Lonchura striata: one gene and its partner. The protein of the gene in region 2 interacts with the protein of the main gene of each other region in a biochemical or structural test. Links are inferred from orthologs where the notes say so. Each region holds a gene or a part of one and is shown on either strand. Other genes may lie near its edges.

Evidence for each region.
Region 1: the proteins of FLT4 (region 2) and VEGFD form a complex in vitro, tested with the Homo sapiens proteins (2 studies listed by BioGRID). The link is inferred for Lonchura striata from reciprocal best matches to the Homo sapiens genes FLT4 and VEGFD.

What each region holds. Positions count from the first base shown.
Region 1 is NC_134604.1:100,085,548-100,101,041, reverse strand, and holds the start of VEGFD (vascular endothelial growth factor D), read left to right. Parts: upstream 1-7,068; 5' UTR 7,069-7,562; coding exon 7,563-7,652; intron 7,653-15,494. UniProt on the Homo sapiens protein: Growth factor active in angiogenesis, lymphangiogenesis and endothelial cell growth, stimulating their proliferation and migration and also has effects on the permeability of blood vessels.
Region 2 is NC_134617.1:6,552,952-6,568,978, reverse strand, and holds the start of FLT4 (vascular endothelial growth factor receptor 3), read right to left. Parts: upstream 8,359-16,027; 5' UTR 8,219-8,358; coding exon 8,161-8,218; intron 1-8,160. Other genes in the region: nuclear factor 7, brain, read right to left, coding at 12,804-13,348, 13,446-13,561, 14,296-14,315, 14,695-14,928. UniProt on the Homo sapiens protein: Tyrosine-protein kinase that acts as a cell-surface receptor for VEGFC and VEGFD, and plays an essential role in adult lymphangiogenesis and in the development of the vascular network and the cardiovascular system during embryonic development.

The DNA of each region.
Region 1 (15,494 bases), on a different chromosome or scaffold from region 2:
TGTCAGGGAGCTGATTTGTCCTTTTATTGGCCTAGTATCTGAGAGGGTCAAAGTAGAAAAACAAAATGTAAATAATACCCATTTCATACTCAAACTCTAAATTGCACCAGAAGTGTTTTATTTTCATATTACTGGTTGTTACCCTAAAATGTCCTCACATATGTGTAAATCCTGAAATTAACTTTCAGTGCTTTGCAATAGCTGTGTGCACAGTTTTGGGATGTTCGCTGCAAGGAGAATTATGATAAACCCTCTACTGGTTCTCTGACCTTCTGCTATGTGTGTACATATTGCTCCAAGGATGTCACTTCAGGATGCTACAGAATTAAGTAGGGAAATCACCTGTAGAAAATAAAGGTATAAATCCCTTCCTTACCACCTCCTTGCTGTCCTACTTAGCACAATGTTGTTTCAGTTATCCTTGGACATGTAAAAAAATTTTCTGCCTCTGAATGTTTTAACTTCTACTTCTCTGCCTGATCACTTAGTAGCTTTTATTTGCAAAAATAGCTATATGACTGGGCAAAGGCCGTTGTTTCTATGACGTTTTAATGCTGAAAGTTCCTACAAAAAGCTGCTTTGCGTTCAATGAAGACAGAAAGAGGCAGGGAGAGTGAATATAGGTATCTTTAAGCTGTCTTGTGTGAGGAGTTTCTTGCTGGTCTTGAGAGGCAGGATGTTTTCTCAGCATCTTCTAGCTGTACCCATGGGTCAAGAGTCTGGGGCTCTGGTATGGAAACCATTTCCATGTTTCTTCTTATTTCATGGCCACATCTCCCTGGGAAGAACTAGGAAGTAAAAAAAATCTGACCCCTGGAACTTGGCCAGGCACTTGAACTTGAGGTATTCCGTGTTGCCTTTAACCAATAACTTTTTTTAAAGTAGATTGGATATGATTATAAAGTCCAGAAAAAGGCCAGAAAGCTAATTGTGAGTAGATGTGACTGTGAGACTATTCATGTTCTGCTCTGATAGACAGAACAGAGTTCTGTTCTATCAGAAGATACTTATACCTATGGTTCCACCAGCTGCTTATGGGAGCCTGTGGCAAATTCTAGCCTGGTGTGTGAAGTACTAAGATTAAACTAACCTTACATTTTCCACTCCTGTCACAAAGTCTGCCTTACCTCAAGGAGTGTTGCGATGAGATGGGTGGAGCTCTCCAGAAGCACTTGAAGGTGATTGTGTGGTAAAGACTGCTTCAGAAAAATGTTCTTGCACAAATTTGCTTTAACTCTCTTGTCCCATAACACATAGTTGCTTCTTGACCTCTGAGAATGCAACAACCACTAGAATAAATGAAGATTTTCTCATGTAAAAGATGTTTCCTTGATGTCTTGTAGCTGCTCTTCTGGCACCATCCACTCTACGATCACTTGAATTAGATGGCTGTGAGACTCTGCTGGATGAGAAGAAAGTAAATGTCTGAAGTACAAGCTGTATTGTTGCTCTGCTATGTGCACTTGCTCAAGACATCACTAGAGCCTGCAAGGTTAAGGATGTTGATATCACCTGCAGTCACATCTTTCTCTTGAGAAATTCTGGGCTTGATGTGCACAGTGCAGCAAATGTCTGTTCAGTTACACAAGTTGGTGCAAGCTGTGCATACCTCAATTCCCAGAGTAATTTAGCAACCGTGCCACATATGCTGGAGAAAATGAGAACATATTATTATTCTCTACATTACAAGAACCCGTGATTTCAACTGCTTTGCTTGCAACATCTTCAGGATTCAGTAGTCTGAATACTCACTGTGTTGTGCACTTACTCAGACTGAATATAGCCATTGAACTGGATGTTGAATCCATCTTCTTGGTAACAGCTTCCTGCCTTGGCTTTCTGAACTGCTTCAAACCTGACTTGAACAAGTAGTGATCCTCAGATGCACCTGAACACCAGCCACTGCTTCACAGTCAGTCTGGAGGGGCAGGGGAAGATGTGAAGGATATCATCCAGTCAGAGTTCCTCCTCTCCTTCCTCCTCTCTTTTCTGTTTCACCAATCCCCTGCCTCCCCACCTTTCCCTTTCCCTTTCTTCTACCTAACTGCAAGACCTGTTTTATCTTTATGTTCAGCTTCTCCCACTTTTATGTAGAAAGAAATGAGAACTTATAAAATAACAAGTGAAATAAAGGCTCCTGAAGGCTACTACACACCTTTGTAATTAAAGTTTGATTATTGTTTCAGTTGCGCCCTCATTAACAGGTATGTAAACACAGATGGATATGAAGACAAGCAGACACAGAGCTCCCATTATTGAAGATAAATATGAATAACAGGAATCCAGAGAGAGGTCTTGCTCCCTGGATCAGGTATCTCTGTGTAGGTTAGACTTAGAAGTTGAGTTACCCAAACAGACACAAAAGAAGCACTGAAACAAAAGAAGCACAAATTTCTTCGTACTTGATATAAAGCTGTTGCTCAGCACAGCACGCATCCCCAGAGAGTCTTTCTGTCTTTCCATGCATTAGATGTCACAAATGTGAACTAGTGAAAGGTAACAAGGCAGCTGGGCTCTCCATGAGGTTGAGGCAGAGCCTGTTCAAAACCAGAGCAGCTACACGGTGTTTGCATCTCTCAAAGGCTCAACAAAAAGTGTTTGTTTGTGATTTGTATCTGCCTTTTGCAGGGGAGGACTGAGCCAGGGGATGCTGTGGAGAGCTGGGAGTATGCCAGCCCTTCAGCCAGGGCTGTGCCTGTAGCCTGTGCAGACATTCCCAGGCGAACTTTCAGCCAGCTAGATGAAGCTGTGGATAGCGGTTGAGCCACTGCAGCCTGGGGCGCAGCAGAGGCACCCGGTGGGATTTCCCCTCTTCCCTGGCCGGTTTTGCATCCTGCTGTGAGCTCCAGGTTTGCTGCAGCAAGCAGACAATTAAATGATCTAATTTAAGGGCAGCTAAAGAATAACCTGAGGAGATGAAGCACTGTTGGGGCTGGTGAGGGGGATGGCTCTGGATCTGGCTCTCTGGTGTTGTCCCCATCACTCCGCTAGCCTGGCTTTGGCAGAATCTTCTGGTGCTCTGAATTTGAGATTCTGTGCATGGGATTTTTCTTTTTTCCCCCTCAATTCTATCAATCCAGCTTAGTATTAGTGTGATGTTTCAAGAATTCTGCTATTTCACTGAAATTTATGATGCCAGTATCAATTTTAATAAATGTTGCTTTATTTCAAAAGAAGATTTTAATGTAATGATTACTTGATAATTAGTTTAATAATGTGTGCTAAGTGACCGGATTGCCATATAACTGCTATGTCATGAGTGTTTATTAAATGTAAATTAGATCCTTGTTTGCAATATTTTATAAACTCTCTCAGTTTTATTTTTTTTTCTATGTAGTTTTCAAGAAGACAAGTCCCCCTGTGTATAGATTAGTTAGAGGGAATGGGCAGACCTACTTATAGAATCATCTTGAAAATACTTAATAACCTTCATTGGGAATTGTGTTATTCTGGACATTGTGCCATACAGTTTTCAAGTCTGAAGTAGCTGGTGAAACAATACTTTCTTTGAAGTAAAGATTATGAACTTCCTTTCTTTAGCTCCAATTTCAACTTTACAAACTGATCAATTTAATTGGAGTTTATTTAGGGCATATCCTCACAAACCTTCCTTGATCTAAATAGTCCTATTGATTTATGGATTACTCTTGTGTTAAAAGCCTGAAATATCTTCCTTTGGTGCTTTGTTACATTTTTCCAAATGAAGATATTTTTTTTTGTTTGTTTGTTTAAGGTGTTCCCTTTTAATTTTTTCTGGCTAATAATGACACTAGTACGAGCCTTTCTGCAGGTCTAAGTTATTTTCAGATTACTGAAGGAATTTACTGTCTCATCTGAAAAGATTTCAGCTTGAAGAACATGAGTGGTTCAGCACTGTTAGGAAATTCTTCTGTTCCTTGGGTGTGCACACATGCAAGAAATGTATGAGTTAAATATGGTGCTGTTTTTTAGTTTAAGTCATCTGTACTGGCCTTATTCCTCTTTATGTGCCATGAAGGCCAACTATAGAGCCCCCAATGCATCATGGTGAGGAGTGCTAGTAAATATAGTGCACGTGGTCTGCCTATCCTATCATAAAAGTACCAAGAAATGATGATTAATCCATTCATTTACCAAGTTCTGGATCATTTATATGTTCTCTTCCATCACAAAAACAGACAGTAGGAATCAGTGATTCCAGGTTTCTGTGCAATGTGAGACTATTACTTTGGAAGAAAGACTCATAATTCAACTGTTATTGAAAAAAAATCATATATAATGCCTGTAGATGAATAGTTTTAAAGTTTTAATATGTATTGTTCATCCATTTCAGATATCAGTGTTGATGAACATTAGAAACAGATTTAACTAAACAAAATTTTAATCTCTTCTTGTAAAGAGCTGACTCATTGCCAAAATATTAATGTATTAGCTGCTTACCCAAAGGTGGCATAAATGCTTGAAATTTCAGTTCATTGTGCAGTATTTAGCATTGATGATGTCTGTGGAGCTGATTATTCAGGTACAAAAGTAATTTAAATAGTCATATAAATTTTATTTAAGCTTCTTTTTAGACAGTGCTAGATTTCAAAAGTACAAACCCCAAACCCTGCACAAATCTCAGCAGGTGGTTCTACAACAGCTGACTGAGATAAAAGATGAAACTAGAGTGTGTGTATTGTTAACTTATGTTCATAAATTAAATGAAAACAGAAGATTCTGGCCGGACAACAAGTCTGTTCACTGCTGTTGCAGGCAGTCTGCAATATAATCTCATCATACTTCTGAGATTCGAGCTCCAACACAAAAGTATTTAAAGTGTTCTCAAACACTAGGCAGGAAAAATCATAAGAAAGCTGTGTCAGGACCAGAGCTGAGGTGGTGCTGAAGAGAGAACCAATTCTTATCTGGAATTAAGGAGAGAAACAAGAACTATAGGGAATGGGATGAGCACTGTGATACAGATGGTGAAAAGAGTTTCCCAGAAATTCATTACGAGTTTCTCTGCTGTCCTACCAGCTGGTTTCTCTTGCTTTGCCTTTGCTTTCACTAACAGCTTTGAGCCAGCTTTAGAGTCCTCTGCAGTTAACAAAAGGGTTTTTCTTTATTTGCTAGTCTTTGTGTCTGAGTCCTAAGGGAGGGACTAGGTACATTTTGTGTTCTGCCTGCAGCATCTAACTTACAAACGGGTTTGATTCAGTGCCTGAGGGTCAGTTCAGTCTTCCTGCCAAAAAGCCCCCTGAAGCCAGAGGTGGGTGACCTTTTCTGATGAATGGTTTGCTTTGAGAAAGATACAGGCCTGGTCTTTCCAAATGTATTTGTAATTCAGAGGTGAATTTGGTAAGTAACAGCGATGAAATACAACATACAGAAAATACTACAGAGGTGTTTCTCTCCAACATTTCCAAACCAAATAGCTTTAATTTTCTAATCCTAGATTGCTTAGAGTCCCTGAAGGGCAGTCTGTGGGCATTTGGCACCAGCCCTACCAGGGAACAGAGCAGCTCATCCCTGAACAGACAGGCTGTGTAAGGATCCCACTCCCAGGCTTTAAGGTGTGCAGGCACATATTGCTTCCTGACTCTCTCGTGGTTCCAGGTCTGTGCTCCAGGTGATCCCATAAGTGAGAGGTGAGTATGGCCAGACACTCCCTCCAGTTAATGCAGGTCAATTGAGAGTTATTTTCATGTAGTCCTGAGCCCACAGAGGTTATTTTTGGTTTGATCCCTTACTCGGAAGCTGTGCATCCGCAGCAGAGGCATAGCCATTCCTTTTAGCAGGCCTTCAGCTCCTGCAAGGGGATGGATATTAATATCAGAAGCCAACCAGAGACATTAAATGAGGTCAAGGTCACCCTACATAAGTGTTAGATAACACAGTAATTTAAAATGATGAATGAAATAGTTTAAAGAATGTTAATTATAACCTACAGTACAGACATGGGATGACCCTTGTAGTGTGGGCTGTGCAAAACTGTGTGAATGTCTCTGGCACTGGATGCAGGGAGGTATGAGGGGGAGCAGCAGGTACACTGACAAAGCAGCTTTTTCACTCTCGTTTTGAAGAGGTGAAATTCCTGCTGTCCTCGTACTAACCAGTGTGGGGTGGTGGAGGAGGAAGAAAAAAGAAAAAAAAAAATAAATAGATTGCTTTCACAAATCAAGTGGGAAAATACAAAGCTAAAAAATTATAGTGTTACATATATTTTTTTAAAACCTAATGACAATTAACAGACAACAACTTGAAAGACTGGATTAAAATAATTTTCTTGCTAAGATCCATTTGTGGTCAATACTTAAGAAGAAATTATTTAACCTAATGGTAGGTAGAGAAGTGTAACTTGTATTTAAGACAGCACTTGCTTGGACATCAGAGGTAGGAAACCAGGACTCTGAAGTATTATGTACTTGACTGTTTTTAACAGCTGTGGAGTCTGATTCTGCAAACACTAAAACCTGTGAGAGTGGAACTGTTCTCCTGAATACAATATATATGAGTACAGCAATATGGATTTAACATATATAAGTATTGGAGTCTTTGTCTCTGCTATAATTTTAAATTATTGATCTTTGTTTTTAAATCTCTGTTTTAAACTACAGGAATATATAAAGAAAATACATACTTATCTTGGAGCAGAAATGCTCGTTGAGTTTTGTTGCAATAAAAAGAGATTTTGTCCTTTTATAGTCCAGCTTCATGAACTTTCTTCTGAAAAATAAAAATCTTGTTTGTTGTCAGAAATAGTTCTTAACTTTGCTTTTAAAATTTTATTCAGAAGCCCCTGTGACACATGAGATAGAACACATGAAAGTCTTTCTTTTTTCCTTTCCCTCCCTCTTTTTTTTTTTTTCTTTCAGTGCAGTAACATAAAATATGTGTGTGGTGTAAGAACGCGTGCTAAAGTTTCATGTTTCAGGTAATCTCCTTTAAAATAATGGGAGTCTAGATTGCATCAGTTAGTTTAAAAACTGCTATGCTATTGGTAGGAAGAAAATGGGATTTGAGCCAAAACTTGCCTGTGTTACTGCCAAAGTCTGTATCAGATTTAAGACACATGCTTCTGCAAGCTTCCACGAAGGTTGTGAAAAAAGTTTTCATACAGAGTTGGATTACAGCTCTCGGCTCAAAACACTGGCCATTACACTCCCATCTTAAAAGCCTGCTGTAACACCGAGCACAGAATCGAGCAGCTTTCCTTCATTTTCTGGACCACAGATGGATTTTGAATGTCTCCTTGTGTCTTGATGGAAGATATATTAACTTCATTAACTGGAATCCATACCTGATTGCTTGTGAGTGTGTATGTGTACACATACAGATATATATCTATTTAAAACCTTATCATGATTTTATTTCAAGTGTATCTAAGATCTGCTCTAAGAAATTACATTCTCTAGAGGAGCTTACAATTGTTTTGAGTAGCAAAGAGACAGATATTTACTCTCAGATGTTGGAATCCTTTGTGAGTTTATGAGAGAAATTCTGGAAGCCTTGCTGTGTTGGTGGTAGAGAAATGCCTTTTGAAACAGACACATCCAGCTGTACAACGACTGCGTAGTAACCTGTGGATTTTAAACATCAGAATGTACAAACCGTGGGCAACTGTGAATATCTTCATAATTTCTTTTCTACATCTGCTGCAAGGATCTGACTATGAGAACGGCTCTGTGAAGGTAAGTGAACTTTATTTACTTTGATTCTTAATAATACAAATTCCAGAATTAGCTCCATTTAATGTGCAAGGTAGTAGGTTTCTTGTTTTTGTAATGAATCGTTATTTTTTTGTTTGGTGATGGTTTAGTTGCAGAGGTGTTTAGCAGCCATAGAGGAAAATGAATCTACAAGGAATTTAAATCCATATTCTCTGTTTAATATTTTATTACTTCTTTTACTAGTTATTAAGTACTTGTTGTATACTTTGTTCTTGAGTTAAAATTTTAGTTTCAGTCATTGAAAATAAAAGAAAAATCTGAAAAAGAAGCATGAGTCAGAGTATTTTGAATATTTGGTAAATTCACTTTTTTTTATTTCAGGTATTTATAATTGCAGGAATTAGTATGCTGGCATTGAAATTTTCCCTGTAAAAACACGTGTTCATCAGTTGTTCACTTGTTTGGCAGATATCAGAGGAACATTTCTCTTTTCCTTCATTAGAAAAAGTTATATAGCATTTTGAAATAAACAGCAACTAGTAATAATAGAGCACATTGCCTGGAAATTAACTTTTCTTCTGAATATAGTACATGAAACAAAATTTAAGCCTCACCATGAGAGTAGGATTTTTTGGCTTTGAGACAATGTGAGAACATCCAGGGCAATCATTTAGAAAAATCAGAACAAAAACCGGAACAAGTTTCTACACGTGCAGTCTGTCCAAGATTGATTAATTCAATGTGTGGTCCAGAACAAATTATTTGTTTTTCACTGGCAGAGCAAAACAAGCTAATATTATTTTTTTCCACTTCAGAAAACCTCCTACTTGTAAGCAATGACCACACACCAGTCTGTGAGCCTTCTGCATGCTGACCTGTGCTTTAGGAAAGAAATGCTCAGTTGTGTGCCTAATTGCAGACTGCTGTTGCCAGCCCAGTAAGTCAGCAGTGGTGAGCAGTGTGTGCCTCAGGATGACTGATGCCTGATGACTGCTCACAAGCTTTTAATTTACAACCTCAGCAATCAATTCTTTGAAGGCATTAGGACCAGAGTAATAAGCCTTGTTTAATACATTAACTTTGTGCACTGCATGACAAATCACTGGTTTTGTACTTGCAGGAATCACTTCATTTAAACCAGAGCATGCTTTCTAATACAGAATAGTAACCATTTCATAATTGGCAGGGGTGATAATTCTAGCCACATGTGGGACGCAAGTTTATTCAGCGCAGAAGTAAAACCACTAGAAAGCCCTGTAATTGTAAACTTTGAATCCATACTCACTTTGCCTAGAGTAAATGCAAGAGCTCTCCTTGCTAGCTTATATTAGCTTATATTCATTCACTGTGATAAGATTGTCCATCCATATAATCACATGCAATTGTGATTATTTTCACTGAAATTTGGTTACCACTGTCAAGAGGCCAGCTTAGCCCCAGGCTACTGTTCTTGAAACAACTCACGGAGAGTTTCCAAGACTATCTTAAAGGAATCTTATAGGTCACACGCAAAAAGGTATCACACTTAAATGCTGTATTTCACTTGCTGATTGCCAAAAGGAAAAGATTGCTTGTTCTGGCTCTTTTGGTATAGATGGAGGCTTTTGGCTAATCTGTTGTTTTTCTTTTAATGTCTTACATAGAGTGTTAGCTCTCTGGGTTGTTTTCTCCTGTATGACCTGTGGGCTTCTGTATGTGTACACATGTGGAAATACACCACAAAACGTGCTTCATTTTACAGCGTTGGATGGCACACAGGGTTATGATTATTCTTACCATTTTCCCCTCAAATTGAATTTGCAGTACACAGAAATTATGTATTGCATTCACTTACCCTACCTTGTTGTTTTAGAGTTCTTTAAGATCAACAGCAGGACTGCCTGGATAAAACACACAAGGTCAGGATGCAGCTAATACACAACTGATGAGACCTAGGAAGGGTCAAGCACCAGCAACCTGCTCTGCCCCCTGTTATATGAATCCAGGTTAGGTGAGCTCTGCCCAGGACACCTGAAATTTTAAAACTGTTTATGCTTCAAACCATCAGGTGGCCTCAGTGTGGTATCATGCAAGAGTTTCAGGGGGCTAAGTGTTTAAATTCTCTCTTTTTCCCCTTCAAATATCCTGATTTAATCATGCATGAATATTAAAAAGCTTATGTACAAACTGCTGTGATCCAGCATCTCCATGGCAGCTGGCTTTTCCTAACCCTTCAAAAACTTTAAAAACTCCATCCTCTTCTGAGCACATGAATCCCTTTTCCCCACCATGTGCATGTATTCCTCACCTGTCAGAGCTCTTCCTTCCTCTCTCCATTCCCTGTTCTACTCCCAGCACTTGACCTGTGTTCCCTCACCTCCAGGACACAGGGACTCAGTTTTCCAATTGGTCTCTTTTTTGTGCTAGCCAACTGTCACCCTCCTTCCCACTTGCTTCCTCCTGGATGCAGACATCCTTCTTCTGTCACAGACTCTCAGGAGTTTTGTCCATTTTCCTCAGAGACAGCCCTAATGGACACTTTTCCAGTCATTTCTGACCACAGTTTCCCCTTCCCTTCTCCAACCATAGCTCCCTTCTTTGGCCCTGTGGTTTTAACTGCCCAAATTTTCCTTTTCCTGACCCATTTCTTGTTCTGATCTCCAAAGATGTCCTCAGCCTCCTTGGCCAGGCCTTGCCCTGCTCCATGAGTATTCATTTCCTTCCCCTCCCACAGGCAAATCCCTTGGTTTCCTGTCCCTGGATGCCAGACCCCTGTGGCCAGAGGGGCACAAAGGGCAGGTCCTGTGCTCTCAGCCCCACAGGCTGGACCTGCATCCATGGGTGGCCTGCACCCAGCTCCTGCTCTGCTCCCAGATGGACAGCAACCAGCACAGGACCTGACTGCTGCAAAGCCCTGGGAGGGCTGTGTGGGCTTTTATCAAAGATATCAGTGTACACATCTGAGGCAAAAAAAAAAGGCTCCTCAGGTGTCAAAAATTCTCATCTGTGATTCACGGTAGGGAAACAGAAAAAAAAATTTGTGCAGATAAATGATATTTTTTTGCTTTCTCTGTCAAAATGGTTTGACTGCAGTGGAGGATAAAGGAGGAGCTTCATCCTCTGCTGTGATCAAACCATTTTGACAGAGAAAGCAAAAAAATTATTATAATAATTTTGAGGCAGACATCTGGTATGGAAAGTTTCAGCCTGAACAGCGAATGTCTGCCAGTCAGAACACAACAGGAGCACAGGCTCATGGTGGGAAGCAGTGGGCAGCCTCAGACAGGGGCAGCACAGCCACACATGTCCAACAGGACTTGGCTCCAGAGCTGAACTGATGTCAAGGGCAGCCCTTGCCTTCCGGTGGCTTGGTTCAGGATGCCAACCTAATATATAAAGTCCTCATGGAATAATTAGATTTCCACATGAGTTTTCTGAATACTGAGAATTATTTTTAAGGTTTTTTTTTTTTTTAATCAGGAAATGCTTTAAAAATTCCTTATTGAAGTTCTTGTCCCAACAGTCTCTTATGTTTTGGAACCTCTCAGCTAGAGAACCGCAAATTTCACTGTCTCTCTTTCTGTCTCTCCCCCTCAAATTTTTCCTCACCTAGGGCAGCAACAGACATAAAATACTTTTTCCAGAATTTTAAAATTAGATGTGAAGAGCTATGTCCTATATTCATCAGAGCTGAGGCAAATATTTTGCCAAGAAAAGCCAATGATCCATCTGAGCTGCTTCTGCCTTCCAACCCTAAAACTGCCTCTCTAATGAGGCAGCAAGATTTGATCTTGGAGAATTAAAATCTCATTGCTTTTCTTCTCAATCCTTCTGCTTCACATTATTGATAGATTGTTGGGGGACAGGCAAGAGAAAGGAACAACTGGTCACTTCCAAGTTAAACAGACTCACAGCCTTTTCCTTTTGCAGAGGTGTTCTCCCCATGTTGAAACCTCCTTTGGTTTTGTCCAAGAGAAAACTACAGTGGATAGGCCTGAGGAGTCCCTGAACTCTAAAGCTGCTTTCTGATCAAAAGACCAAGGGTCAGGTGGGCTAAGCTAGGAGGTAAACATGCCTGCTGTCTGTTACATGCACTCCTTTCCCACAGCTAAATATTTCCTGCTTCTGCACTAAACATTGTTAAAGCCTCCAGCAGTCGCTCTTGCTCAAACAGATCTTCTTAATCTCCTGCTGTCCCTGTGAGCTGCACAGAGTGGGAAGCCACTTCCCAAACACAGCTGTACATGGTCCTTGTCCACTGGTGAGAGGGAAGCAGCACTTCCCCACTCTCCTGAGGCCCTGGACCACCTAAGTGGAAAGAGCCTTGCCCTTGGGAAGGCATGGAAATACTGGAGAGCCAGCCATGTTTCTTGGTTTCTAGAAAAGTTAAATTCTAAAAATCTTCCATGTCATGGGATCTCTTCCTCAAGTGCAACTCCTAAAGTTCCAGCAAAGTGCTCAACTGCTAGAAAAATCAACTTGAAATGTCACTGGGAACAATTTCTCTGTTTAAACTAGGTTTTTCATCTTCAAATCCAGCTTCCTTTCAAAGTTAGGAAACACTTCTAAACAAATATTATGAGATTGTGGTTTTCAGAACTATTTCATTCTTCCAGTTTCGTCTACTGCTTTTGATTCTCTGTGATTACCATATCTGATAGGCTCAATGAGCCAAAAATGTGTGAAAATATACTTACAGTGTTCCTGCAGAAATGATTGTTTGTGTTTTTCCTTCAGAAGTCAGAAGCTATCAGGGAAGCTATGAGGAAGGCCAATTTGTTCTGACTTATCTGCTACTGTCTTGACAAGGTGCACTGAAGGCAAACAGAACAATCCTGTTTTGTTGTTATGCCACAGAGCGTCTGTCCTTGGCTCTTATCAATTTGGAAAGGCAACTACTAACATGCTGCTACTTTATCAAGAGCAGTTCTTGCTCATGAGAAAGAGCAAAAAAATCCCTCCCAGCTACTGATCCAATCCAGTCCATCCCAGCTAGGATTTTAATGTCTGAGGATAGAGCAGAGCTTGGAAAAGTACACCAGGCTGTGTAGATTATTCAGATGCAGCATTTGACAAATCCACTTATCAGTGGTTTAAAATTAAGCACTAATTAAACTTTGCCATCAGTAGTAGCTCACATCTGAAAGTCTGTGAAACCAAGAGGAGGCAAGAAGGCAGGTTCAGAGGGCAGTGGGCCATCTTTTTTGATAATCAGTGGTCTGAAAGCAACCAAAACAAGCCTTCAGCTCAGGCTCAGCAAATGTTGCTTGTTTCTGTTTTCTGCAGCCTACTGGTACTTTTTTCCCACAGGCATTCGTGTTGTTTATAACCAATGGTGTAGTGGTATCAATGTAGGCTCCCACAGGAGGCAAGCAGAGAAAAGAACTTCCTGAGAACAGGAAAAAAAACCAACCTGGTGCAAACTCTGACTTGTGAGACCTCTGCCATGGTGTCTGCAGTTTTTGTTCTGATCAACACTGCTGCTATTCCAGACAAGGTTTATTTGTGTCTTATCTCCTGGGGACACCATCCTGGCATTTGGGAAAAATAAATAAGGTGCAGTTGTTGTAGGTGATAACTCATTTATTCTAATCCCCACTAAAAAACCCTTGTACCATACTTTTTATAGTTATCACACAGTGGGATCTGTAAGTCTTTTAGGCCTGTCTCTCAAGGCAAGTAAGTCCAGTTACAAAACTGGCTTTTACCCTTTCTTGAACTTGGCTTTGAAACCATATTGCTGAGGGGGAAAAATGACCTGAGCTATGGTGCTGCAGGGAAGTAAATCTGATAGGGTAACTTTCCTACAGAAACACCTATTCCTGAGAAATTCCTTATTCCTCTCAATATGTGCCATTCCCTTATCTACTTCTCCACCTGCTTCCTACCTCCCCAGCATGCTTTGCAAATCATCATACATCTCGCTGGGATTTGAGGAATGCAAACAAAATGCTGAGTGCCCCCACTACAGCTGCACAGACCCACTTTGCCCATGGGAAGACCTAAAAGAATTTTTTTTAACATCCTGGCAGAAGTGTGATATATGGGCTTCTGTACCAGTGAACAGCAGAACAACTGCACCGGCTATTTTAGCTTTCTTTCATTAATGAAAATTCAGCTTCCTTTCTTTATGAAGGACAGCTGAGCATTTTTTTATATTTTTCACCCAAATGTGATTTAAGGCGTGCCACCACTCAGCTGGTGGTAGGACGCCATCTAGGGTTCTTCTGCTTCCACAAGGAGCACAAACAAGGTGGGGTTGGACTGGTGGGATTTGGCAGTCCAGTGTGGGACCACATGAATGGGTTCAGAAAGGGGTGAGCGCCTTCCTCGCCCTCGGGATGCCGGGATGGGTTTGCCTGAGCCGTGCTTTCAGGGGAAGCAGGCGGAGTTGGGTTTGACAATTCATGGTCACTGCCTGCCGTGTGGTCACGGTGAGAGTGCAGCTGGGGAGGGAATTCTATTTGAGTCACGATGAAATGCAAAAAAGTTGCATCATGTTACCATATCGTGTGTCACTTTGCGCACAGAGAATGTGCCACAAAGCCAGGCAAAACTTTTCACTTTAATTAGCAGCATGACTCAGAAACCATGTTAGGATACTTTTCTGAATTGCTAGGGAAATATTACTCAATAAAAACTACAATTCCAGGAAAATGTGTGCGTGTGATTGGGGTAACATAAGTTCATTCATTGTTGGCAATGGCTTTGCTTTGTGAGTGACATTTTGAGACCCAGCTGTCCAATTGGCTAGTCATACCTCCAAAACATTTATTAAAGAGTCTTGGGGAAAACCCAAAAACCAATGAAAGTGCTAACTGAAGGACCCTTCATTAAAAAATATTTTCAAATATTAGAAGACTACATAGTCATCTGATTTCATGCAGGTCTTCTCTATTACTGAGCCATTCCAAACTCACTCTACAAACCTCAGAATGGACAAATATCAAGAGACAGCGACTATAGCCTTGACATGCTCTTTGCAAATGCATTTAATATGCTATTTTTGATGTGTGCATCCTGTCACAGTGTTGGGCCAGCACCTAACCTGGTGTACAGTGAAGTGATAATGTTCTAGCTGAGCTCTGTCTTGAGCAGCACATCTGCCTCAACACATTGCAGCAATACAAGACCATGGGAACAAGGTTATAAGCAGAAGCTCAGAAAATGTACTGTAAGACTCCAAAAGTTGTCAGTAGAATTTAGAATTTAGGATATAGCAGTGAGTTAACACACTGGACATTTATGACAAATCACCTGTGTTTTTTCCATTTATATTTATATTTACCAAATAAATGTTCTTTGTGTGATCACTGTAGGAGGGACCTAAAGGTAAACTCTCAAATGTAGTTGACTAGACCTGAACAGAAAGAAAATCCATACCTTAGCAAAACAACTCTTTTCTTTTATATACCACTCCAGCTTTTCTATTACTACCAGCACACTGATGCACAGTGGATGTTGCTACCTTCAAAATCACAATTGGAGGATGTTTCCTATGAGAGCCAAAAGACCTGTATGTGGGAAGAAGCATTTGTTTAAAGAGAGTTGTAGCTGATACTCAAAATGTTTTCTGCTTCATTTTGGTGTAAAGACCTAACTGGCTAAAAGTATATATTTCTGAGAGGTATTTTGATAAAATATCAGTCTCTGGTTTGGACATAAAAAATTATATTAAATACTCTGACCAAACCATGTCCAATTCTGATGTTTTCAGTTATTTGCTTTCAGTATTTTTGTTTATTCAAGAGAGAATACAGCAACCAAAATATCTAATCTCCAAGGATTTTTATAATGTAAGCATGGTTCTAAAGTGCAAGAAGTCTGATTTGTTTGCTGTAGCTCCACAAAAGATCTATTCTAGTTCAAAAGGCCATTCGAAAT
Region 2 (16,027 bases):
AGTTTCCAAATCTGAGTATAATCCACCATTTGTGCCCAGCATTCCTGCCTCAGTAAATGTCAAGATTTACCGTCATTATGGAAACTGCTGGCTTGACCCACACTTATGTCAGTATTTATTTTTTTAGGTCACTACATCTAACATCCATGTCAGTGGACACCAGTACTTCAGAAATGGGGAAAACAAGTCACAAATGGAGAGCTAAGCCTGGAGCCAAACCTCACTGTCAGCACACACGTGTGTCTGTGCAGACACATACATGGTGCCCTCATCAATTTGGGAAATTAGTGGAGGAATTTCCAGGCTCTGCTACATGGCCCTGCGCTTTTTTATTTTGGAATAAATAAAACCAGTAAACCTTTTACAGATTTCCCTGCTGTATGTAGTGCTCAAGTGCCTCTGTAATTCAGAAGGATGATGGCGGACCCCAAAACCCGCCATGGGTCTCGTGAGTCTTGTGATGGTGCAGACAGACCTTGATAAATCTGTGGAGCCACTGCCCAGCTCAGGGTGTTTGCCAAGTCTCAAATTGCCCTGCCAGCAGCTGGCATGGAGAACCTGTTGCAGGGTGGGGAAGAACCCAGAGAGGAAGGGGACAGTGACCAGGGGAAGCTGCCAGGGGCACTGCTCACTGGCTACTACTGGCTGCTCAGCAAAGCCACCGTAAGCTTGCAAATTCTTCATAAACGTCCCATGTGACACAATTACTCAGGGGCCAGATTCTGAAGCTCTTCCTTCTCTCTTTACTCAGACCAAGCTCCACTGAAGTCACTGAGACATTGGCCTAAATACAACTGAAGGAGTTCAGGATTTGGTCCAGTAATAAAAACTTCCTTCCTTTGTCTACTGCTCACTCCACATGATCCCATTGCCTCCCAGTCTCCTCCTGGCCTCGTCTCCCAAGGCTGGGGCTGTCAGTTGTTTTGATGTTGCTCTTTCATTTTACCCTCAGCCAGACCATGCCAGTCCCCTCATGTAGCTGTGAGCTGCTGAGGTGGAGGGAGCTGGGCTGGCCAGTGAGGAAGAGGAGGACACTGTGGGGTTAAATACAACCTGGCTGAGGCACAGAGCCAGTCTTGGGAGCATGGATGTGTGCAGACACCGTGCAGGCTAGGAGCTGGCTCTACCATCACCTCCCCAGTTCCTTCAACGCCTCCTTGAGGACAGGCTGGAGCATCTCCAAAAAAGCCTTTCTCCCCCCTGCTGAGCATAGAGCAAATGCCTTGGGCTTTACACCAAACTTTTATGTGAGGGAATGGGTGACATGACTCCTGCCCAGGAAAGTGCAGCAGGAAGTTAACTCATCTCGCTGCAATGACACATGCTAGAAAGTGACACCATAAAAAAAAATATAACTTTAAACAAATAACTTGCAAAATGAGTTTTGCTGCTTTTTCTGCTTCAAAACAGCCAGGAGGATGCAAATCCCTGTCATTCCTCAAGGGTATCTCATCCTCAGCATGACCATGTGAATGTGCACTGGGGTTTGGAGCAGGAGCTCCTGCTTCCTTGCCATGTCCACCAGCCTTGCACACACCTGTGACACAGAGCAGCACAGGAACACACACAGTCAGATACAGCAATTCCCTTTGCACCACCTGCCCGTGCTGCTTGGTGACAGAAAGCAACCACAAAAGGGATTTGAACTCAGCTGAAGCGAGAAGCATTTGGTCCTGAGGGACCACCATGGTTTGATGATCTAAACCTCAGCCTTGCAACTCATGCATGCTCATGTGGGTGACCTGGTCAGACAGCACATGGCTCAGAGAGAATGGACCTAACCCCTATGAGTTCCTGCTGAGGTTTTGCATCTTGCAGTGAGATTTTTAGCATTCCTCAGCTAAGACTGAAACAGAGGCTCACTTTGGAGTGTGCAGTTCTAACCACCCTAGGGAAACAGAACTCTAAGCAGCAGAGGAATGGTGTTCTCAAGATGCAAGGCTGTGGCACAGCCTTTGCACAGGTCTGTGGGAGCCCTGTGCCATCCAGCCTTGGCTGAAGCAGCTCACCACATCCTGCATCCCAATGCAAAACACAGCAATGCCAACCTGAGCATTCCACAGACTGAGAGTGCAATGCCCTGGCCAGTGGCAAGGGCTGCTGTGATTAGGGCTTGCTTTTGAGTAAATACAGTCTTGCTGTACATTCTGCCCTTTCAAAGTACATTAATTGCCATGGAAACAATGCTGTTACTGGTATGGCAGCAGCCTGGTGGCCCCAACAGATGCAAGGCAAAAATCAATGGATACATTGACATACAAGCTGTGTTCCAGGACTTTTTGTGATTTTTAAGGCTGGTCACCATGGGCACATATGATAGAATGGCTCAGACACTAAAAGATGCCACCTTTCATGGAAAAAAAGCTGGGGACAAAACATGGAGGAACATCTCCTTTGCTGTGTTCATCTGCTTATGCAGCACACTTGTATGGGATCTGCTCCCATCTGATCTGATGTGTGTACTCAACTTGTGGCACTGGGCATCGCTCCCAGCTCCTGCTGGAGCATCCCAGACCTGGCTCCCCTTCACATCCTCATTCCCAGTGAGTACAAAGTACCTGGTCTCAGACTTTGGCAGGGTGGCTTTGCTCCATGCCTCCCCTCTGCCCATCCATGGCCCTTTTCCACCAGCTCAGATGCCTCACCAAAAAGAAGGAAAAATAGTCAATATTACAGATGTACAGACACACACCATCACTTCTTGGTCTTGAGAGTCTTTTTAGTAGCACTGAGAGGGTTTGTACACAGAACAGCATAAAGGGAAAGGCTGCGAGCGCCCTTCCCACCCTGCCTGGCCGTCCAGAGAACCCGGAGCAAAGGGCAGCCCTGGCTGTCCCCTCCCAGCCTGGCTGTCCCCTCCCAGCCAGGGCAGCGCTGCCCTGTTCCCTGCCGTGCCGCCCATCATAAAGGGGTCCCTGAACTGTTATCAGGCAGTGACAGTTTCCGCCATCAGATTCCTCCTGTCCGTCAGGAAAGCTAAATAAGGAACATCGTTCAGGCGGCTGCAGGAAGAGGGGAAATGCAGGGACATCCGGCCCAGCTGCCAATTTTTCCTTTCCCATGAACCACCACTGACCTCCGCCAAGGGAGAACCTGGACACCCAGCCTGGCATTGGCACTGCTCCTCTTTGCTTAACCCTTCCCTGGGGGACACCCTGGCCCCCAGAGCCTGCTGAGCAGGTGGTCTCGCCAGGCAGGGTGGTGTGGCCAGGGTGGGACAGAGCCTGGGCGCTGTGTCACCGTTGCTGGCACCGCAGACCACGGCTGGCAGCCTTGGTGCACTGGCTGGCATTTTCACAGCCAGGAGAATGCTTAACCCCTCCACACCTGCACATGGGTGGGCAGCTACTCCTCACATAGAGACAATGGGTGCCAGAAACATCAGTGAGCTGCTCCATCGCTTCCCTCTTTACATGCATCTACACCAGGAGCAGAGTCAAGCTTATTCTTTCATTAATTCTTCTGAAACAGAGCAGGGGTTTTCCAGGCTCTGACAGGAATGGCCCTGGGCTGGCTGCTGCCAGGTAAAATTTCATCTAATTTTTCTCTCTGCCCATTCCAGAGGTGTGCCCATCAGGGATCAGGACCAGGATTTGTTCCTTTCTTCTGGTCCTTCCTGTGAACAGCCCTGGGGTCCTTGTTGTCTTTCATTGCCTAGAACCCGAGTAGGGGAGCAGCAGCTGCCCAGTTACTGTGTGCTTAGATACAGGAGACTGTAGCACTTAAGTTTGCCTTCCCCCATCACCACGTCTTCCTTGTTTGCCCAGAGAGAGCCTTTTCCTGACCCCCTAAACCGATCCTCCCTCATTAGCACATGACGTCCGTCCCACGGCACCTCCAGGTTTGGCCGCAGAGGCTGCGGGAGGGATCCTCGCCCTGGAAGGAGGGGGCAGAAACACAGCAAGAAAAACAATTCACTCGTGGGAGAACTTGTAAGGTGAAATACAAGTCACTGGCTGAAACCTGTTTCTGCTACCTCAGCAGGGAAATGACTCCAGGAGAGACTCCAAGACTCCCCACTTAATATCCTCAGCTTATAAAACTTAGTGGGAGTTTCAGCACCAGCTGCTGCAGGGCCAGGTTTTTCACCTTCCTTCTGCTGAACTTGCACCTAGAGATGGAGTGATTTCCTCGACACAAGGAGCAGCCACACTGGGCTCAGGGATTGTGCCTCCTCGCCGACTTGACCACAGGCCACCTCCGCTTCCACTATTCTGCCTTAACAATGAGGCACCGCAGATGGGCAATAATGCTGTGCCGAAAACATCAGAACTATTCTGACCAAAGAGAAAAAGCCCCGCTGGGACCTGGCTAACCCCCTCTTTTAACAACGTGAAATAAGAAACAAAGGTCTGGGATAGCCAGAGGCAATAAAACCCCTGGAATTCATTTAACCAGTCACTAGATGCCAGTGCAGCTGCGGCAGTATTTCTTTTCCTAATGAAGGACAAAAGCTCTGGCCCAAGGCGAGGCTCAGCTCTGGTCTCCCCGGAAAACCGTGGCATGCACCAGGAGGTCATGATCTCTCCACAGTACACAGCAGGAGTGGGACATGTACCTGGCTGCTGCCCCTCGCCCAGCTGGAGATTTGCAGGAGCTGCAGGGAAAGCTGGGACAGGTCAAGGCAAAACACAGCACTGGGCACATCTGGCTACCAGCCTAAGGTGGGAAAAGGGGGCTTTCAGCTTGAACTAACTACCTGTGGATTTTCTCCTTTCAAACCCATGCACAACTGCCCATGGACCCAGGCAAACACACCCACAAGGCCCTGTGAAGGTGAGCTCCACTGCTGCTCAGCATTGTGCAACAAGCCACCAGCCTCCCACCATGCTCCCAACACGGGAATCCACCAGGAGCTGCCTTCTCCAGGCGAGCTCTGATTTTGCAGCCCTCAGGCACTGTGCCCCAGTCTGTCTATCCCAGTGGAAGAGCCCTGCAGCTTTAGTCATTCCTCACACAGAAACCACCCCACCTTCCCTGGGCAGTGGAGCCTGTGGGCTTTGGCCATCACAGGGCTTTCTGCTTCTCCCTGCACCTGCAGGACCTCCCCATCACCCCCAGCTTGTTGCAGCCTTCCCCCCCACCAACCTGGTTTAAATGCACAGCCCCCCAAACTGGGATTGAGGAGTCTCCTGCCCTGTACCCATTTTTTTGGGGCTGTTTCAGTCCAGCAGGCTGAATGCAAAGTCACCTCTGCTGTGCCAGCTGGAGTGGTTGAAGAGAAAGTGGGTGAGAAAGGTGCTATCCCCAGGGCTCACCTTGCTCCCCAAAGCTGCTGAGAGCTGGACAGACCTGGGGACCCACCGAGAACCCCCTCCTGCTCTGCAAGGCAACCTCCTGAGTGTGGTGGATGTCCCCTATGGTTTTGGAGAAACTGCTCCCTGGCCACGGTTCCCTCCCTCCTGCTGCCGTTCCCGTGGGATCCCGCTCTCCCCTTCTTTCTCCAGGAACTGCCTCGGGATGCTGGGAACAGCCTGTTCCCTCCTGGCTGGCTGGGAGCACCTGCCCTTCCCACGCCTGCCCCGGAAAACACCGCAACAACGCGGGGCCAAGAGAAACCCTGGGGATAGCGATCCTGCATGGAGCGAGCCCATGGGAGAGAGGCAGCAGAGTGGAATGGGATACACCAGAGGAAGCCCTGTCCACCCTGCCTGCACTGGCCGGGGGCATTGTGCTGCTGGAGGAGTGTTCTTCTGACCAGACATCAGTTTGAGCTCAGTGATGCCTTGGTGGGTGTTTGTGCAGGCAGTGAGCTACGGTCTCACGTGCCCAAGCCAAATCCCAGGGCGGTAGTTGCAGCTCACTCATCTGAAATCATCCTTAAGCAGACAGCAGGGCACAGGAGCTCTGGCTGTCCCCTCCCTGGCAGCCCCCAGGGACCACAGGCTGCAAACACCCACTCCCCTGGGAGGCCCTGGCTCAGCGCTGTGGTTGAGCCTGGTGGGGTTGCTGTGCAGTCAGGGCTGTTGAATGAAAGGGTGTTGCTGAAATGGCCCATGTTTATTACTTGCAATAAAGCAACTGCTTCAAATCCCAGCTGCACAGGCAACTGTTGCTGCTGGCACGGTCAGCGCGGGGCTGTCCGAGCGCCCAGCCCGGAGCTCTGTGTGATCGAGAGGGGAGCAGCAGCAGCAGCCAAGGCAATCGGCTCAGGTCCTACACAAGCACGAGCCCTTCCCTCACACAATGGCCATACGCCCTTGGAAGGGGCTAGCCAGTGTCCCCAGCGGGATTGTTTGGCCGTGGGGGGCTCAGCAGGGCTCTGTGTCCAGAAGATGGTGGCTCAGGGATGGTCTCATCACCATCCAGAAAGGGTTACCCTGAGAGGCCAAGATGATCTGGAATGCTGAACCTGTGCCTGTTCCCCCCATCTCACTGCCTGCACAGGGCAGCTCCCCAGCTCCATTTCATCCTGGGAGCATCATGGAGCTGGGATGTGTAAGAGCTTTGTGCTCTTACACACAGCAGTCTCTAATACTGGCCCATTTAAACAGGCACCAGAACAGACCTTTCATGATCCTGAGATGATTATTTCATCCTTCACAGGTGGAACAGTCTCACACACACATCTCTGCTTCCAAGGGGAGCAAATATTTGCAGCCCATTGGGATTATGGTTAATGAGAAATCTGTGGGTCCTTTACGCACTGACAAATTGTCCTTATTGATAGAATGGAAGGAGGGGAAGCAAATCCCCATGGTACCATCCGCCAGTTGAGCTCCACATCGCCCTTCATCGCTGCACTAATCAGGCAGCACCAAGAGCTTCAAAGCTCTGCTCAGCCCTGTGCCGACGAGGCCACACAGCTGCACTGGCCAGAGCCTCCCAGGCACTGTTCCTGCACCTCCGGGAGATGAAAGAACCCAGGAGCAGCTACACTGTGCTTTACAAATTGCTAACAAGAGAGCTTTGCACAGTTGCTCCTGCTGCAATACCACCAGCAGCAGGTTCCTTTCTGCCCAGCTTCCTTGAGCATCCCCTGAGCTCCAGCCACCCATTGTGTCCTTTGGCCCCATGACACCAGAGACATCAGCAGCTTTTTGGGCAGAGCAGGTTGACAGTGACACTGCTGGTGATGCTATTCATGCCACACCTGCAGCTCTCCCATGAGCTCACTTCAACGATAGCAGCAAATGCCACTGGTGATAGCGAGTCATTGAGCTGATGCTACAGCAAATTCTATTTATGCTGCCAAAATTAATCCCCACATTGCAAGCTTCCACCATTATTAACTTTCAGTCTTGCTCTGATCTGGGCTATAAATGCTTTACTTGTGTGAGAAAGAACTCCTCTAGGGATATCTGGTGGGGTGTCCTGTCCCCACTGCCCTGGCAGTGCCCACCCAGCTCTGCCCTGTCTCATGGGCTCTGTTTGCTAGAAGGGCTTGCAGCCCCATCTCCGCCGTGGCTCTGCAGGGAAAGCATTTAACTGGGATCTGCCTCGGGTGACTTCCGAGGCAGACCAGAGCTGGGACAGGCAGGCTGGACAGCCTTGCACGGACCCCCGCCTCCTCGCGCCTCCCTCCCCGGCACACACAAATTAATGACTGTGCGTGAAAAAATAAATAAACACAGCCGGGACGGGCCTCCAGCCGGGCGCGTCCCCGCGCAGCAGCATCCCTCCCGCGGGGGTCCCGTGAGGCTTCTCCCCGCTCGCAGCGAGACACCCGCGGCACCAGCACGGCGGGGGCTCCCCACGGCCCCGGGCCCCAGGGGACCGCGGCAGGTCCGCCCGTCCCGTCCCGTCACTGCGGGTACGCTGTCACCGCCGTCGGGGACACCCGAGCGAGCACCGCGGCGCGTCCGGGCCGGGGATGGGACGGGCAGGGCCGGCCTGAGACGGGGCACCCCAGGGCGGACTGAGCCGGTCCCCGTCGGGGATTGGGGTCGCCGGGACCGGGAGCGCCGGTCTCCGCCGGGGATGGGAGCCCGGGACGGGCAGCGCCAGGCACGGCACATCCCCGTCCTGGGTGAGGGACGCTGCGGGAAGTGCGGGTCCCTGCGGGTCTGGGGGACACGCGGGCGGAGGCGCCGAGTCCCGTCCCGTCCCGTCCCGTCCCGTCCCGTCCCGTCCCGCCGGCGCGGCCCCGTCCCCAGCGCGCCCGCAGGTGCGGAGCGGGCATCAGAGCGGGCAGGGCAGCCCGCAGCCCCGGCAGCTCACCTGCCTCCGAGACAATGCCGAGCCAGAGCCAGAGGGGCAGCGTGCAAACTCTCCTCATCTCCGGGGCTGCCGGCAGGTCCGTGCGATGCGGAGCGGTGCGAGCGCCCCGCGCCCGAGCTCTGCTCCCGCCGCGCCCCAGCTGCGGCGACGCGCGGCGGCGGCGGGCGGGGAGCACCGGGGCCGCTTCCTTTTCCTCCGCCCGCCCGGGCCGCCCGCCGCCCTCCGCCGAGCCTCGGGGCGCCGGGCGGGCGGGGCGGGACGGGGAGGGGCGGGCGGGGAGCAGAGGGGGCTGGGGGGAGCGCACCTGCAGCTCCGGGCACCGACGGGGAATCCGCGCTCCCCGCACTAGCGGGGTGCGCGCATCCCTTCGCACCTGGGTGTCTCCACCTGTGTGTGTGGGTCTGCATCCCCTGCGTCAGGGGGGCAAGAGTGTTCCCCATCCATGTGCGTGGCTCTGCATCATCCCTGACCCATGGGTACATGCGCACCCCCACACCTGCGTGCGTTTTCACACCTGTGTGCACCCCCGCACTTGTGAGAGACTGCCCGTACATCGCCTGTTTCTTGTCTGTGCCTGAGTGCACACTCGCGGCCTCTCGGAGCGGGGGAATGCACACAAACACGCTCTCCACAACTGCGCACACGCACCTCACGCGATGGAACACACCTGCCTGCACACACCCCTGCATGCCTGCGCACCCCCTCAGCTCCACACCTCACACCTGTACGCACACACCCACGCACACAGTCCTGCACACCCCCCTTGAACCCCCCCCCCCTCCCGCACTCCCTGAGGCACACAGAGACACGCACGCACTTGGGTGTGCTCACACTCGCACCCTCATTCAGCGGGGCTGCAGTAGGGTCCCCCGCTCACGCCGTCCATGCGTGCACAGCGCCAGCAGCACTGCTCTGCACGGATCTCCGGCAGGCACACGCCAAGCGAGCGGCGCTGCCCCCAGGGCGCTGCCGCTGCCAGCCGCAGCGGCTCTGGCTCGGAGCGAACTGGCTGCGAACGCGCCACAGACGGAGGCGATGGCAGAGCGCTGGGAGCGCGGTGGCACAGCCGGCACGGCCCTGGCCGGCTGCCCGTGCGCCCAGCGAGCGCTGGACGGATAAATGAACGCGGCCCCGCTCTGCGCCCCACAGGATTATTAATTAGGCTCACTTGTAGGCAGTGAAGAAAGAGCCTGAATGAAAGCCATGTGCTCATGGCTTCAAAAAGGCAGGAAAACTTCTGGTGCACTCAACTGCTCACGTTACCAAACCCACAGAAGAAATCACCCTGTCCCTCTCCTGCAACCCTCAGAGGGACTCTAAGCCATAGCATTTATTTTACCCGACTCTCCTCATCCTGATTAGTGAGTTTTAAGCCCAGAGTGCAAACTCCATCACTCTTCAGCACACTCATCTTGGATCACCTCCCTCCTGCGTCTCAGCAGAGCAGAAAGTGGCCATGTCCCTTCACCCCAAGTGGGTGTCCAAGCCGCTACAGTTTGAAGAGAGACTTCCAAAACTTGCCATGAAAAGGGAGAGCTGGAATGTCACAAAGGGGTGGCACTGCCCAGCACTAAGTGAAGAGCTGAAGTTACAGGATCAGACCCCTCCCCGGTGACGGGGCTGTGATCAGAGACGGTGCAGCCACGCAGTGTCCCCGCGCTGGGGACAGCATCGGGGTCAGTGTCCTTGAGAGGGGAGCGGTGAGGTGCTGGGGGTGGACAGTGACAGGGGAACGATTCACATGGCACCACCGAACTGCTGGCCGAAGCGCACAGTCAGAGTGCCTGGAGAATCCGAGTGCGAGAGGAACAGAGGGTCTGACCCGGGGCTGAAGGGACAGACACCCCAAAAGTCAAGGGATTTTGGCATCCTCCCCCGGCGCAGTGAGGCGGCGGCAGGACCAGCCCGTCCACGCTGCCATCTAATGGCAGTAATGGCAGGACACCGGCACGGCTCGCCCCGCCGGGCGGGGAATTTTCCATCACAAACGCAGGGCGACTGTGGGACCGATGGGACCTTTCCATTGTTGCGGCCCTGGGAAACAAAAGGATCTTGTTTTAAAATCTTGTCCCCATTCCAGCACGTGGGGGGATCCGAGGAAGCAAAGGCTTCCCCAAAGCACTGGATAAAGACATACACAGATCACAGAAGGCTGCCAAGGCAGGAGCTGCTGGACACTGCCCAGCCTTAGCATAACTTGGGGAAAGGGACACTGGGGTGGGAACATGAAGGGACAAAACAATGAGGTAACCCACAAGAGGAGTACAGGCTGGACCTGGGAGAAGATGGCGAGAGCCAGTCCTGGCAGGTGCAGAGTCTGGATGCTGGGGTGAGAGGTGCTTTAATCCCATCATTCCACTCTCCCATCCCTATCCCCTTCTGCATGAACCCAGGCCAAGCTCAGGTAGCATTCTGCATTCATGCTTATAATTCCTGCTCCACGGCGCTCTGGTTTGTCAGAAAAATGTGTTTTTCAGGCAGCATCTAGACTGCATTTCCTTACTGGGCTAACACTGCATGCATGGCAGTCCAGAGCAGCATTTTCCCCTCTATGTAGGAGCTGCTCTGCCTCTCCAGCCCTGTCCTGCCAGCAGGGCCAGGCGAGGACATTATACCCCAAAATGTGGCTCTGCCACGGCCACCACGCACAGCCCAGCAGGAGAAGAAAGGACGTGCTCCCTCAGGAACATTTGGGACAAGCAGGTTTGGCTGCTCTCCAGCTCGGGGAGGGTGTGGGAGGCAGTGGCACACGCTGGCAGCCTGTGCCATCACACCAGCCCACGTGGCACAGGGCACACAGCAGCTGGGCAGTGGGAGCTGGCAGACAGCAAAGCCTGGCTGTGCTCACCCTGCCGCTGCCCGGCGGATCCGTGTCCCCTCACACCTCGGGGACACTGCTGTGCTGCCCAGCCGGGCCTGGCTGCAGTTTGGGGTGGGCTGGGGAGCTGATGGGTTTCAGCTTTCCCCAGTGTTAACTCCCTGCTGTGACCAAACCAGCCTCGCCTTTCCAGAGGCGCTCTCGCAGGGGGTACCACAGCCCTGCTCACAGCATTTCCAAGCCAACAGCTCTGTCTTCTCCACTCTTATTGCAGCTGAGGCTGTGGGGCAGCAAGAGGAAATGAGGGCTGGGAGAAGAGGCTGAGTCCAGTTTATGGGCTCAGCACTCACTGGCTAAAGTCCAGCCCAGGGCCAGGAGGGAGCACAAACCCTCAGCATGCCCCCCACACCCAACCCCGAGCAAGGCTGCACAGAGCAGAGACTTCCCAGGCAGTGGGAGCAGCCCTGGGCTGTCCTCAGTGCTTCTGGGACACATCTGCCTGAACCCTGCATGGGACATCCTTGCCTCTGGCTTCCTCTGCTGCCCTGGCACAGGCTTTAGGCACCCTCAGCCCTGGCACACTGCAGTAGGGGTGTGCAGGAGAGGCCATGGCCCTTGTGGCACCACGGGGGAACAGGGCCCCTGTGCCATCCCCACTGGGCAGGCAGGTGGCCAGTGAAGGCCTTGCTTCGGCTAGTGTCCTGTGCCCAGCTGTGGGAGCTGGAAAGCCTCACACCCAGCCCCAGCCATGCTGCAGAAAGCTGAGCCTCTGCTGGAGGTGTCTGGCTCCAGCCAGCACTGGGGACTGTGCAGTACTGGGGAGCTTTGGCCTCTGCTTTGAGCTTGGAATGGATTTGGGTGGGAAAAACATGACATTTCCACCCGCCCCAGACACTGCCATCCTCCCTCCCACCCACCACTTCCATCAGCCAGGCTTGGAGCCATCCCAGCAGCTCTGCTGACTCATGAGGCAGACACTTCAGCACCCCCTGGTCACAAACCACAGCAGCCAAACCCCCTTGACTTGTCCCCCAGGGACCCCGCCTGCCCTCCTGCAGGTGCAGCACTTCCAGCAGGGCCACAGTTGGCTGACAGGAAAAGAGCCACATTCTTGCCGAATTTGGAAAGAATTGGGACTTGGCATTTTTTCACATGTACAGATCCTTAAGAGCCAGCCAGGCCAGACATGGTGAAATCTTAAAATGGTGAAAATCCACTGCGAGATGAGCAGGGCTCTGGGGGACTGCTTGGTGCCCCCGGGTTGTGCCACACCCCAGAGCAGCAGAACCCCCAGGACACAAGCCCCGAGCAGGCAGCACTGAATTTCTAATGAGCTTTAATAGCAAGCGAGGCGCGCACCAGGCTCCCTCTGCTGCCGGCCCGCAGCCCAGCCCCGGGAAGCTCTTCCCGCTGGGGATGCCATGGCCGGGACGTGGGGCTGAGGCACCCGATGGTGCCCCGGGACCGCTGCCCTGCTCCACGGGGGTCACGGGTGGGAGCACAGAGAGACAGGAGGTGCCAGCAACTCCCAGCCCCCTCCCCTGCAGCCCCGTGGCTGCTGTTAGTGCACTCTGCTGCGCTCAGGGAAGGCAGGTTGCTCTGCTAGAGGTGCCAGGAACCCCTGTCAGTGCCTTGTGGCAACCGCAGCCATGGCACAGGGAAGGAAGGGCAGACAGGACCTGGGAAGAGACTCATCCCCTCCTTCCTCCCAAAACTGAAACCAAAACAGCTCCTCCAACACCGCTCAGGCTTGTGTGTTCAGAACTGGCCTCGAGTGCAGTCCCGGACAGGAGCCAGGCCGGGGTCTCCAGCACACCCTGGTCCCTCACAGGGCCAGGTGACAGAGGCGCATGGGCTCCACATTGTCCCTCCCGTCACTGAAGCAGGTGCTGAAGAAGGGGCAGTATCTCTCTGCAGAGACCTGGTGGAAGGTGAAGAGGTGGGACATGTCCCCAGCATCAAAGAAGCTGACGGAGCCCTCCTGGCAGTCCAGGAAGACGCCCACTTTCCGAGGGGGCTGGCGGGGAGCCAGGCGCACCCAGGGGCTGGCAGTGGCCCAGTACTCTGTCCTGTTCCGCAGGCGCAGCGTCCAGTAGCCGTTCTCTGGGCACAGCTTGACCTTGGCTGCCCGGTCCACAGCCTCAGCAGCCACCCCCAGGTCCCACTTGGTTTTGCTGCCCACCCAGACCTCCCAGTAGTGCCGGCCGCTGTCGAAGGCCTGCGAGCCCAGGACGTTGACGCACTGGCGGAAGCGCCGAGGGCTGATGGGCACGGGCTGGGCTCGATTCCTCTCTGTCACTGCTGTCAGATCCCTGGAGAGGACCAGGTTGGGGTGGGCTGACTCAGGGTCAAAGGTGAGTGGGGCAGGAGCTGCGGAAACATCAAGCATGATGTTTTACCAGCTGTACGCTCCCTCTGCAGAGCACCCCTGCCCCACCACACCCATCCCTCACAGCCATGTGCTCACCAGGGCAGATGGAGCGCAGCATCTGCCTCCAGAAGATGTACTGCAAGGGACCACTGTGGCTGTCCCTGTAGTGCTGCAGGTCCAGGGCAGGCTGGGTCTCCACACGCACCGAGGGCCTGGGGTGGAGAGAGGCAGGCAGGGTCAATCCCTCTGCTGAGCCACTGCCAGTGCAGGCATGAAAAGCACAGGCAGGGCTGCAGGACAGTGCTGCACGTGACAGATTTGGTAAAGACAGGACACAAATGTCTCTGCTTGCTCTGCCTGATGCAGCCTTGTCCCCAGTGCAGTGAGTGGCTCAGGACAGAGGTGCCCAAGAGAGAGGCAGCAGCACTGCTTGTGGAGCAGTGACTCCTGGCAAACCCACACCCAGCACACCCAACAGGATTCCTGCATGGCCAGATAGGCTGGGCCTGTGGAATCAGGAGGGAGGGGACAGGACACACATCCCTGTGGCAGTTCTGGCCCTCAGCTACTCCCAGCTTCAGACAAACCTGCACTTCAGGGTCTCTTCTGCAGCCTCATGAGTAGTAAGAAGCTGAGGAGGGGCAGGGAGAAGATGAAGCACCCAAAGTCTGTTCCCTCCTGCAGCATGCATGGCTTTTGCACCCATCCCAAACCACTGTCTCCTCTACCCACTCTTCCAGCCATGTCAACACATGGGATGCTCCCTGGGAAGAGCATCCAGTGTATGCTGGGGACCAGCCTCCACCTTGCACAGCACCAGCAACTTCCTGAGCAATTTGTGATGCTTTTAAAACTTGAGATAAAGTGTGTCTCCCATGTGGTCCCAGCCAGAGACTAAGATAAGCTCCTGAAAAGCAAATCAGCTTCTTTCATGCCAGACACATACCTGATATCCAGGCTCTCCACCTGCAGTGAGAAGCAGAGAGAATTAGCAGGCACTCTAATTCATGCAGCTGCACAAATAAATTCCTTGTCCACTTCCTGATGCCACACAGCACAGAGAGAGGAAACCAAGCTACCAGGAACTGCAGCCTGGGGAAAACTGCTTGGGCACTTGGATGGAGAATGAGGAAGGCTCCCAAGACCCACTACAACTGATGTCACTGTATCTCTTGTGGCTAAAGTCTCCAGATCCAAGGGATTGGGTAGATAATCCAGAGGGATGGCAGGGAGAACAGATGAGAGATGGGGTACAGCCTGGTGCTCTCATTTAAGACTCCCACATCCCAGTTTGAGATCCTGAAATATCTCTCAGCCTCCTGCCAGAGTCAGCAAAGCATCTTACCTCCAGTAGTGACACATCTTCCATCTTGCTCAGGGTCTGCTTGACATGCTTGATGTCCCTCTGCAGCACTGCCATCCCCTCTTCCAGCTGGCCAACATGCCTGTGCAGCTGAGCCAGTGTCTGCTCCTCCTTCTCACCCAGTTCTGCCAGCACAGCTCTCTCCTCTTCCTCCAGGATCTGATGAAGGCGAGCAAACTCAGCCCGAATCTTGAAGTTCAGCTCCCCAGACACCTTCTGAGCAGAGGGAAGAGGCAGAAGGTGAGTCCAACAGCCAGAACACACAAGTAGGTGCACAGGATGGCTGTGCCTGTTACTCTGCTTACAGAGCCCTGGAAATTTGAGGTTCAGACATAGCAATGACTTTTTGGATGGAGAACAGGACACAAGGACAACCTTCAAGGCTGCAGAGCTAAAGGGGAAAACCAACAAACCCAAAAAGCCAGCTCCACCAAAGGCCTGGTCACTGTAACTAGAAATCCCCACACGCAGCCACAGCCCTCTCCCACACCACCAGGAATTTGCCTGTGGGCAAGACTGGAGCTCTTTAAATTTTGTGGAGATGCAGACTCAGCTGTTCAGGTTAGTCTGCATTTATTTCACATTGTTCCAGGCCCTGAGCAGAGCTGCCTGATAGGCAAGCTGCACAACCTAATCTCTCTCATTAAGGCTGATAAAATCCCATTCAGCTCTATCCAGAGGTCACTTTTTCCCAGTTGTTTACTTGCCAGCCAACCTTGCCGTGTTCTCACTGCCTTCCTGCCTGTTTACAAGAGACAGCCAATGACTTTTTGTTTTCCTTAAATCTTTTTAAGTTTTTAATCTCCAAGTGCAACCTTAGCCCTCATTACTTTCTCGAGGAGTGCTTCCTGAAGTGCACATCCCTTTCTCCTCACAGGAAACCCATGTCCCTCAGGATCTGAAGCTTCACCAGCCTCTTCTTGCTCTAGCAGGTGTTTGTGCTGACACACCAGAACCACAGAGGAGGTGCAGGGCCTCCCTGTTCACATCAGTGATTTGTTCCTTTACTCTTGAGACACCTCTCAGCTCTTGCACAGCAACAGGAAAACACGTGCTTATTTGCTAATACTTCTTCATTAATCTCAGAGGTCTATTCCACATCTGGCAAGAGGGCAGAGGTTTGAAATGGAGCAGGCTGGCAGGTCAGAGGCTCCAGTCAGAAGACAGGGCTTTTTTCCCCTCTCAGTTTTATCTCATCTTTTAACTACTTCCATTTTCCTTTAACTCCCCTTCCTTGGTTTTAACACTTTTATACCACTCAAGAAATCAGCACAGTCAGCCTGTGGCTGTTCTCACCTCACAGATCTGTACCTAG